3 linked regions of the Danio rerio genome follow. The protein of the gene in region 3 interacts with the protein of the main gene of each other region in a pairwise test. Links are inferred from orthologs where the notes say so. Each region holds a gene or a part of one and is shown on either strand. Other genes may lie near its edges. The genes, in order: park7, tcf7l2 and daxx.

The links.
Region 1: the proteins of daxx (region 3) and park7 interact in binary tests that used the Homo sapiens proteins (3 or more experiments, as listed by UniProt). The link is inferred for Danio rerio from reciprocal best matches to the Homo sapiens genes DAXX and PARK7.
Region 2: the proteins of daxx (region 3) and tcf7l2 interact in binary tests that used the Homo sapiens proteins (3 or more experiments, as listed by UniProt). The link is inferred for Danio rerio from reciprocal best matches to the Homo sapiens genes DAXX and TCF7L2.

What each region holds. Positions count from the first base shown.
Region 1 is NC_133186.1:43,783,255-43,786,910, reverse strand, and holds part of park7 (Parkinson disease protein 7 homolog), read right to left. Parts: intron 2,916-3,656; coding exon 2,856-2,915; intron 2,592-2,855; coding exon 2,522-2,591; intron 1-2,521. UniProt on the Homo sapiens protein: Multifunctional protein with controversial molecular function which plays an important role in cell protection against oxidative stress and cell death acting as oxidative stress sensor and redox-sensitive chaperone and protease.
Region 2 is NC_133187.1:32,995,313-32,999,573, reverse strand, and holds the start of tcf7l2 (transcription factor 7-like 2), read left to right. Parts: upstream 1-1,324; 5' UTR 1,325-1,623; coding exon 1,624-1,812; intron 1,813-1,958; coding exon 1,959-2,025; intron 2,026-2,187; coding exon 2,188-2,312; intron 2,313-4,261. UniProt on the Homo sapiens protein: Participates in the Wnt signaling pathway and modulates MYC expression by binding to its promoter in a sequence-specific manner. Acts as a repressor in the absence of CTNNB1, and as activator in its presence.
Region 3 is NC_133194.1:8,074,064-8,077,719, forward strand, and holds part of daxx (death domain-associated protein 6), read right to left. Parts: intron 2,134-3,656; coding exon 1,964-2,133; intron 818-1,963; coding exon 652-817; intron 572-651; coding exon 19-571; intron 1-18. UniProt on the Homo sapiens protein: Transcription corepressor known to repress transcriptional potential of several sumoylated transcription factors. Down-regulates basal and activated transcription.

The sequences.
Region 1 (3,656 bases), on a different chromosome or scaffold from region 3:
TGGCTGTTTTTTTCCGGGGGGGGGGGGGGGGGGGGTTATAACAGTTTCACCCTCTCTTTTTGTTTCGGTTGAGATTACATCAAACATCGAATAAAACTGCATATTTCAAAGCACGCCAAAGGACTTTTGATTTTCATGAAAAACTGCCTCAGCTAATTTTTTCTTGATGATATGCTCATGCAATCCAAACCTTCACACACACACACACACACACACACACTTTTTTTAAAGGTATTCCACAGCACTAAAAGAAGCCATTTGCCGTTCAGTACAGATCCCTATAGGGACATCTGCCATTTTCTGGGACGCTTTCCGCTCTCCTCTGCTCTCTGCGGCCACATGGGCTCTGTCCTCATTCAGCACGTCCTTCACCAGCCCTTGAACACCAGTGCTGATAACACACACATACACACGCCTCAGTGTTCAATACGCTTGCAAATGAAGACGGACAGGCTTAATGCTGCCAATTATTATAACTCATTATCCTTTCATTTGTATTTCAGATTTCAGTTTTACATATCCGCACTCATCTGTGAGCATCACACTGACATAAAGATGGTTCAGGTAACATTGAGGGCAAAGGCCCGGTGGGGGGAAAAAATATTAAAAGCCCTCAGGGAAATTCATGGAGGAATAAAAAAATAAGATGGTGTTCAAAAGATTGAATAATACATTTATACAGTCATAAACATGTTTTGACACTTATTATGCTAGTGATTTGACGCTTTACAAAAGTTTCAGATGCCTTTACCAATATCAAAATGCTTTTGTAAACATCCAGTTATTCTTTACACCGATTAAAAAAAGGGTTACTATACTACTACTATGAGTACTATAATAAAGAAAATCCGCTCTTACTGTAAAACTAAATAAATTGTTCTTGACACATGAAAGGGCCAAACATGCAGCCCACAACAAGGTGTAAAGTTATTGCGTATCATATTTAACAAACTGTTTACTACGAATTTTATGTAATTTTGCTCACATGGATAATTAAATATTAATCAGTTCTTTTCTTTTTTCGAAGGACATCCTGGGATTTTTAACAACCACGGAGAATCAGGACCTCGTTTTAATGTCTCATCCGAAAAACGGCACTCACTGAGCAGTACAGAGTCTCCGTCACTATACAGGGGCATTAGGACCCACACAGACCGCAGGTTGGGCGGCCCCTGCTGGTCTCACTAACACCATTTCCGGAAGCAACCTTGCTTTCCCATGTGGTCTCCCATGCAGGTAATGACCAAATGCAGCCCTGCTTAGTTTCAATGGGTGACATACCTGTCAACATTGGGATGTGAAAATAAGGGATATGCCCACCATAATAAGGGATTCCTCCAAATATATATTTTTTGATCACCCCAAAAAAATCCCCAAATTACTATGCTCATTTGGAGCTGTTTCATTGTAAATAAACAGGTAAATGGTCAGTAATGTTTTATTATTTACAAATGAAAAAAAAGAAAAAATTAACAAATGAATGATTCATTTAGATTTTTTCGTTTAATTACTTTAAATAACAGGTGTCAGTTTAAAAACGCACACATCTAACATTATAATGAAGGCAGTCGACTGCTTTCCTAACTGTTAATGCTCATTTAGGAGGAAATTATTTGTGTTTGGGAAAAAACCCCCACCAAGATCAACATCTTTAGATATTATTATTATTATTAATTATGTGTGTACATCTGTTTAAACACGCACCCAAAACCCAGACTTTTGCTCCGCTTCAAATCACGAGTACAGAATTCGTTTTGGAAACAGCGTCTATTTATCACTTTGAAGCTCGTCAGCTGACAGTCATGCAGTGCTATGACTGTTTTGAGGATTGTATATGAAGGGGAGACGACACATGTAAAGAAAAGGAAGGGAATCGTGCCGTTTTTATGTTTATTTCAAAGTGTTTTCGTACCTAAACAAAGCGAAAGCACAGAACTCGCCTTCAAGAGCAAGGGGCGGCCCCTGGTGGTTCGGAGGTATGGGAGACTCAACTCTTTAATGTTTAATTGCCACCCCTCTGAGAAAGACTGAAAATATGGGAGAAATACGGGAAAATACCTTTACGGGATCATAGCAGGATAGAACTGTAAAATACGGGAGAATCCCGGGAAAAACGGAAGGGTTGACAGGTATGATGGGTGACCATGTGAGAGTTGCAGAGAGCTAGCTGCAGGTAATATCAAGTTGTCATGACAAATATAAAGACTGATTGTTTTGTATTTGTTTTAGTCAAATTGTCATAACAAATAATGTCATCTTTGCATTCAAAATGTCATAATTGAGCGAATGACAATTAATGACAGTTGTTAGAAGCATGCATAAAAACTCATTCATAACATGTGTCATCATAATTAGAAAGATTTCATGACAGTCTTACGAACACCCCGTCAAGTAAAGTGTTACCAAAAAGGTAATATATGACGTGTCTTCCTGACATTATGCCTAATAGAGCAGTTGAAATGGTGGATGTTTATCCAGGAAAAGGTTAATGTGTGCACAGAGGTCACCAAATGAAGATTACCTGCACAGATTGCAGCGATCAGACCCTTCCTGCCCTCCTGGTCCTTCAACACCTCTTTCACAGCAGGAGACTACAACACACACATGCACACACACACTTATATGTATATGACGCACTACAGAAACAACTGTCACAACACTGCTTCAATTTACATAATTGCGCAATGTTTGCGTTTCACAATGCGACCGTGTTTCTAACCTCGGCAGATGACTCAAAGATGTTTTCTGTTGATTTGAGGAACACTCATAACCTTATGTAAGACTCGAATGGCGTAAGAGCTCTCCTATGGAACTCACTCTACTGTAAAACATGCATAATTAAAACAGATTTGTACCTCAGAAAGGTTCTGGGCTCCAAGCAAACCTCCAGGCAGAAGAACAACGTCATATGGACCCTGTTTAGGAAAGAAAATGACATGCACAACTGACATAAAACCATATTGGTTACATACTGATTAGAATACTTATTTACCATTGAAATTCATTAGGAAATATTGTTTTATTAAATGAAAGCAACTCAATTAAAACTGAACTCCCTCAGAATATTTGACATTCTGCATGTGTATATAAACAAGGAAGAAAACAATCATGAACATTTGCTTTGTTTATATTATGCATATGCAGAAATACTGTTTACCATTGATTTCATTAGGAATTCTTGTTTTATTAAATGAAAGCAACTCAATTTAAACTGAACTCCCACAGAATATTTGACATTTTGCATATGTATATGAGTCTCATGAATATTGTAAGGGTTTTCTTATTTAAAATTAAGATCCTTTAATAAAGCAAGAATACCTAATGAATTTCAGTGGTAAAGCAGTAGTGCTTATTTTATTGGCAATGCATTGCTTGGCCAGAAGATGGAGACAATACTCCATTTATTTACTTTCAACGTTCTTTAAATCCAAATCAGTTCAGAGATGAAAGCAGGAGTAGGTAGGGCTGCTCGATTATATGAAAAATTATAATAATGCTTATTTTGGTCATAATTATAATTATGATTATTCAATATATATATATATATATATATATATATATATATATATATATATATATATATATATATATATATATATATATATATATATATTTATATACATTTAAAAATATATAAATATATATGGGTCCCTCCC
Region 2 (4,261 bases), on a different chromosome or scaffold from region 3:
TTTTCTTCGGTGGATTGAATTATACATACTTTATTGAAATCTTCCTTAAAATGATGTTTCTTTATAATTCCACCAATGTAATTCAGTTAGGAAAAAATTAAACAAAGCTTTGTATTCACTTTGTCATTATGTTTAAAAAAATGTAAGGAAATGCTTTATTTAAATAAAATTTTGTAACCAAATATGTAGAATGAGGGAATGCTGTGAGACAGCAGGCTGATATAGGAAGTAATGACAAACACGCAGGGATGCCTTTGAAATATATTCAATTGTGGGGAGCTGGATACCATTTTTGTACTGCATTTTTGTTGAAAACCAAAAGCAACACAATAGAAGTGTAAAGAAATACAAATACTTTTGAGAAAAGAAACATGAGAAAATGGATATTCAACCCCAAACCCCACTGTCTTTATTCATAATGAATACAGGTTATGTGGCCTCAATTAGCCAGTCGCACTCCTCCTCCGTCTGTCTCGAAACCAACCCTTTTATAATGTATGTATGTATGTATGTGCATATATATATATATATATATATATATATATATATATATATATATATATATATATATATATATATATATATATATATAATAATGCATATAAAATCTTTTGTTTTTATGTGTAATCGTATTTTTGAGTTATAATTTCAATAATTATAAATATGTAATTGTATTTTTGTACATACACAAATTTTTATTGTGTAAAATAAAAGTCAGTGATAAAATACATTTCTGGCCAATATCAGTTTTTAAAAGATTATTATATCTGTACCATATTGCAGTGTGTTCTACAATTGATCTAATTTTAATTCAAGCTGTCTATGTAATTTAAGTTGTGATATAAAAAGCAATAAAATAATTTTGACAAGCATGTTTGATTTGGAGCTGAATTCAGCCTCTTCTGTTTTGAGCAGATGTTTGGAGAGAGTGTATTTATTTCAACCCACCAACAGCTCCTAAAACAACTGCGGAAAATAAGGAAGCCAATATGATTCTAGCTGTGCCGTTTCTCCGCTCAGATGCATGCAGACTATCGCACAAGTGTCTTCCGCCTATTTTTCCATTCATTCCTGTACAAAAGCAAACAGGGGCGACTCGCTTTAACTGTCCTGCTCTTCACCAAAAGCTCTTTTCCTCTCTCTCTTTCTCTCTCTCTCTCTCGCTCGCTCGCTCACTCACTCACTCTCTCTCTCTCGTTCAAGCCCTTTTCCCCCTCCAGTACTTTTTCCTGCCCCTCTCTATTTATGAAAACGTCACTTCAAGTCCCTCCCTGTTTGAATCTCATTAGATTTTTTTTCTTGTGTGTTTCTCCCTGTCAATAATCCCGAATCCAGACTCTCTCTATTTCCATCCCTCTCTATCTGTCAATCAGCGCCGCCTTTGAACTGAAAACCACTCCGACCAACTTCAACTCCCTCAATCCGAGCGCCTCAGCTCCGTCTCCGGCTTCTGTTTCTGCCAAGATTGCCCTCTTCTTTTTGAGTTTTGAACACTCACCCAGCCAAACGCCACTGCGAGTCCCTAAACTTAAAACTCGGGATTCGGGGATCACACCAAGATCAAGGGTTTAAAAACTTTTGGGTGTTTTTGGCCCCCCGCAAAATTAGCGCTCCTCGGGAAAAATGCCGCAGCTGAACGGTGGTGGAGGGGACGATCTGGGTGCGAACGATGAAATGATTTCCTTCAAAGACGAAGGCGAGCAGGAGGAAAAGATTTCGGAGAACTCCTCAGCAGAAAGGGATTTAGCAGATGTCAAGTCTTCTCTCGTAAACGAGTCGGAAACGAATCAAAACAGCTCTTCGGATTCCGAGGTAAGTGACAAATAAGCGCGAATCCGCGACTTGTCCACAAGTTTACATGCACTTTTTCCTGCTTAAACACGCTGCTAACTAGCTAACGTAACGATCTCCTCGCTGTGATTATTCAATGCATTCCCTGTGTTTCGTTGCATTTCAAGGCGGAAAGACGGCCTCCGCCTAGATCTGAAAGTTTCAGAGACAAAACAAGAGAAAGTTTAGAGGAGGGTGAGTGCTTCTTTTCTCTAAATCTCCTTCTTTTTGTTTTTGCACAGGACAACAACACGGTGCATCGGTTTCACTTTGCTTCTGCACATACGTAACTTACAAAGTTTTTTGGGAATGTAACTTAAACTAAAAGTTTTCCTCTTTTCCCCCCCGCCATGTTAGCTGCAAAAAGGCAAGATGGAGGGCTGTTCAAGAGCCCACCGTACCCGGGCTATCCATTTATAATGATTCCCGACCTCACGAGCCCGTACCTCCCGAACGGATCGCTTTCTCCGACCGCGCGCACAGTAAGTGTTTTTCACGTCTTTCTGCAGCCACATGCACGTAGCTAAAGCACCACGTCCATGTTTAGGGATTGCTTTGGTGGGCTGGTGAACTTCTGCCACACTTCACAGCCTGCACTACTGTACAGTGGCACGCCGTTCGCGCGGACACACTGGCCGAGCGCTGCCAGCCCGCGAGCGAGCGCGTGAACAGAGCCGCGCGAGCGGCGAGTGCAGTGGGACGCGCAATGTGCTTTCATGACGTGCACAAAAACACAGACACTGGAACTTTAATCTCTGCTCTTATTATTTCTTTTCGTTTTCCCCGACACTCTCTGGCAGGTTGCGGTTGTTTAAGAACATTTTTACGGCTGCTTCTTATTTTTTATCGTAATTGTTTATGTGCCTGAATAACTGCTAGACGTTATATCGTTTGCTTTAGACTAACGTTAGACGCCTAATTTTACAGTAGCGCAGATTACCTAATTTATTCAACTAAAATCTTAATGTACGTTTGAATTTATAATAACATTGTTATTACTATTATTAATGTTTTTGTCGTTATGATTTGTGCACTTGCAAAAAATAACATTCTTTTTATATCAAACCCTCAAAATAGAAAGCTTGAATTAATTTATAATGTAAGTATATTTTAAGTAAAATCAAAGTGGTGCCTTGCTTATTACTGCCTGTGCCTTTTTCTGCTACTTAAATTGAATTCCTTATGAACAAAATCGAGGTAGAAGTGACAGAAATTATTGTGACAGTTTAAATGGATGGAAACAAAGATGCTCTTATGACATGGCGATGAAAACATTTTTACAGTGTGCCACATAAAACGTCATTTATCTGAGCTAATTTATGAGTCATTTATCCCAGCTTAGCATAATGTCGCTCGTGTTATTTAAAGAATGCAATGCACATAAACATTATTGCCAAAGAGCATCATGGGAAATGTTTATGGTAATTAGTGGAAGTCATTCAATCAATTTGTGATCGTCAGAATGAAAGCACATTATTGCTCATACCACACTTGATTCCAGTGTAGTAAAATATTACTCAGTAGCGTCAGAAATATTTTAAAATGAACAATTATTTTGAGTTATATATTTGCATTTGTTTTCATGGCATGGACTTTGTGTTTAGTGCATGCAGCATGTGATAATTTCATTTGAATAATGTTTATATACAAATGTAAATACAAATGATGTTGTTTAGATTGGGTTTGGCTTTGCATAGTTATGCATATTTGTCCAGCACTTCTCTTGGCATCAGAATGAATTAGAGTTGATTGATTTAGTCATTTCCTTATTCAAAAAGACTAGTTTATGTGTTGTAAAAATGCTGTTTATGTGGAAATAATTTTTCAAGGATCAGGAAAATTGTACTGCTATTCCTGATTTCCCTAATCAGCTCCAGGCTTAATCTGAAACGTAAAGATGCGCTTTATGACAGTGACGTGATGTGCAACCTGAAGTGAGTTGAAATATCCTGCTGTGAAATTGTGGATTTAACTTCAGGTGTTTCATTTTATTACACTGTTTTTTAATATCAGAGACATTTTTTTGGTTTGTTGTTGAAACATCTGACTGTCGTGGAAATTGCACGCTTCCCAAAACATGCTGAATGTTTTTTTCACCTGCTGATCATTTCTGTGCTGATGCTCAACGTTTAAATATAAGTGCACAGAATAATAATGAACGCTTTAGTATAGCAAGTGCAAGGAAAATGATGGAAGGATTTGACACACAGCGTGTTTTGCTCGGTTGTGAATAATCTCAGAGATGCTTTTAATATGAGAGTTCTTCTACCTGCCGAGATGGAGCCTGCTCTAAATCGTTGGCTTATTCATTTAAGGCTACCAAGAATATAGAGATCTCCCCTGGAAGTAGGATCATTGTTTGATTTATCCTCCCCTATATGTGGGAGTCAACCCAGGACTCTTCTGGCCCTCTAGCCTAAATATTCTACCC
Region 3 (3,656 bases):
TGATGGAGTGAGTTTTACCTGTCCTCAGTGCAGTTCCCGTTGTGAGCAGAAGTGTGGTTCTCTGTGGATCTGCGTTTCCTCTTCCTGTAGTTGCCCGTCTCGTCGATTAGTAAAGGGCTGGTTGGGAGCAGCGGACTGCAGTTGGCGGATCTCGTGACGGCTGTGGACGACTCCTCGGATACAATGGACACAGTCTCAGTGCTTGCAGACACAGCTTCAACGTGATTGGAGGAAACCTGTTCGGTCTTGACTTCAGCTAGAGAGTCTGTGTTCTCTGGCTTGATGCTCTCCGGCTTGATGGTCTCTGGCTTGATGCTCTCTGGCTTGATACTCTCCGGCTTGATGCTCTCCGGCTTGATCTCTGTGGACTCGAGGCTCTGTTTAGCAGGTCCGTTCGTGTTTGTATTTGTTTCTGCAGATCCTTCATGTGTGCTGCTGAGCGGAGACTGCTCCTCATCCTCTTCTGTGTCCTGAACAGAGGATTTGATTGACAGAGGAGAGCTTTCATTGATTGGCTGATCGTTGTCACTGATGTTAGCAGGCTCCTCTTCCACATCTTCTTCATCATCTTCTGAAATTGGGAGAAATCAGGGTTAACTCAGTGAAATGAGGTGATTTCTAGCTTTTGGAGATGATTTGTTCACTTCTTACCTGGACCAGCTTGTTGTTCGCTGGCCTGGATTTCGTCTTCAATGTCAGGATCTGAAGAATCGTCCTCTTCTTCGTCTTCCTCCTCTTCTTCTTCATCTTCCTTCTCTTTTTCTTCTTGCTCCTCCTTTTCTTTTTCTTTGCTTTCACTCTGTTGCCCATTAACAGCCTGTACAAAAAATAGGAAAGATTTATATTAGTGTGTGGTTTCAGACTTGCATATGAATAAAATAAGCTTGACTGTCTTGGAAATACAGAAACAGGATTTAGTAAAATATTTTACGTTTTTTTTTAATGAATAATAAAATAGTTGATTCATTAAAAATATTTTTTACTTATAAATTATTACAATAATTAATTTTTTCAAAGAAATAGAACTTTGTAAATAGTTTGAATTAGATTTTTTAAAATTGTTTTTTAATAGAGAGAATAAAAGTTATATTTATATATATATTTATATACACTAAAGTGCACTGCAACGGGAGCACAACTGTAATCATGTAAAACTTTTTTATTTTTAAACATTCCAACTTTGAATTTTAGAATGTTCTAAATTAATAGGGCATAGGGGGATAAATGGAAATAGAAAACAGCCAAGAACTATGTTTTTTAACTACAGCTCCAGAGGTGTAGTTTCATGTGCTCAAGTATGCGAATGTTTGTTGGAGCGATGGATTTGGAAAAGGGCAAATCAACGAACTATGTTTGTAACGACGGAACTTGCAAACTTAGTTTGCTAATGATGGTTTTGGGAAAAGCACCCCTGAATAGTAATACTAAACAAGTTAATCTTCTTAACAGTAAGACTCTGAGCTAAGATACCGAATTTCGCTCTGTGCTACCATCACAAAGGGTCTCAAAATAAAAATAAATAAAAAAACACAGGGACCTTAACCCTTAATAGTCCATCTTGATGGAATTTTCACAAACCCTTTGCAAACAGCTCCCTATTTATTTGCACTTGACACTTTCTTGTCAACACTCCATGTTTCTGGGAAAACATTGTGCAATTCTGAGTATGTTTCATGCAGTTGAGTGGGCTTGACAAACCACCTGTAGGAGCAGACACTCTTTTTCTCTCCATATGCACCAGACACTTTTCTACAAAAGCTTTATTACTAGGACTCAATAATAACTATAAACTAAACTAAGAATTGTCATGGCATCTATACATTGCTAAGTGTTTTTTTCATCCTCATTAGTAAGTCGCTTTGGATAAATATGTCTACTAAACTAAGAAATGTAAATATGAACATTTATAATCTTCTGTAGATTTTTGGATATATGAACAACAAGAAATGCTTCATTCGTTTACCTCTTTTTTCAGTCTTTCTCTGTCTTGTCTTTTCTTGGTTTCCTCCACTTCCATATCCTCCTGTTTATTGGCGTATTTGTTGATGACCTCCTCCAGGCTGCTGATGGCCACGTCTCTATTAGAGCGGAGTTTACGATGCAGTGCTGGGTCCATGAGTGCAGGGTCTAATGCTGGAGAAACACACATTGCATGACCAACTGCACTCCATCTGCAGACTGATGAACTGAAAAATATATATTTTTATACTAATAATTTTTAATAGGAGGTTGATTTGAGATTGATTCTCAAAAGCTGTAAAATATTTTCTAAATACATTTTTCTATATAAAAAATATATATTTAAACGGTCAAACACTTGAGTGACCATAAAATACAGGTTTATGTATTAAAATGGCAATTTGGTTAGTATTCATGTGAAAAAAATTATTTGAATCTAAAGTTGAAGCAATTCAGGAGACATAATCAATGTATAAAGTCTTAAAGCGACCACAGTCTAATAATTTAAATTTTTATGCCTTTAAAATTAACCAAAGAAAAGATAAAAATAATGAAACATTTAATACACTTTGCCTGCATATTTTTCCTAGCTTTACTAACATGTATTTAATAACTTAATTGAACTATTTTGAATCTACCAATATTTATACATTAGTGTTGCCACATTAATGGAATTTCCGACATCGATACGATACCTTGAAAAATATCAATATTTGAAACAGCGGAGAACAAATTCTGCAAAATTAAAAGTATCCAAATGAAGTAACAATATATTGTTTAACCATCGATATCACAATGTGATCGTTCGCAATAGTCACATCGCAGGATATGCAATGTTGAGTCTGGATTATAATTGATCATTTTGCAAGTGTTTTTTAAGGACTGTGACTGTGTGAGGGTTTTAAAAGCATTCAGGCCTAAAAAATTGTATTGTTTGTAACCTTGAAAAATAAAAAACGATTACAATAACGATCTAACTGTTTATAAAACTAAGACTATGCAGTAATATTTTTAGATTTGATTATTCATTCTCCATTAACCTGAATATATTTTGACTCTTCGGAAAACAATAAAACAAGGTTTATTTATTAGCATATTTTTCTTTATTGAATTTATCCATTCTTGTAGACTGTTTATTATATTTTATGCACTCCCCTACAGAACATTTGCAATCAAACTAAAATTATAGATTCTTTACAAACATTTATTCAACTCATCTAGTGAAATAGTATTAATATCGCAAAATATATCAAAGTGTAATTTTTCCAATATTGTGCAGCATAGTAAAAAAAACAACAAAAAAAAAACAATACTAAACCATGTTATGCACATATCAAGTTTTCTCAGCAGTCCTATATATAAAATATATAAAACAACAAAATTAGCACAATCTCATTTAATATTCTGCTTAAAACAAAAGTGTTAAAAGTCTTATTATTAATTATTCATTTCCCTGCTGGTATCAAAACCAACCAAAAGTTGGTTGGTACAAAAAGATTGTACCATTTTAAATATTTAAGAAATGATATTTATTGATTTTTTATCAATATCAAACACTATACATACATGTTTTTAAGTGTATGCATGAATATAAAATGGGGGCCACCGTCTTTGAAACCCTGTGCTATTTTTCATATTATTATCACTCCTTCTCACATTCATCTGATAAAAAGTCAAATAAAATACACATGCACCTG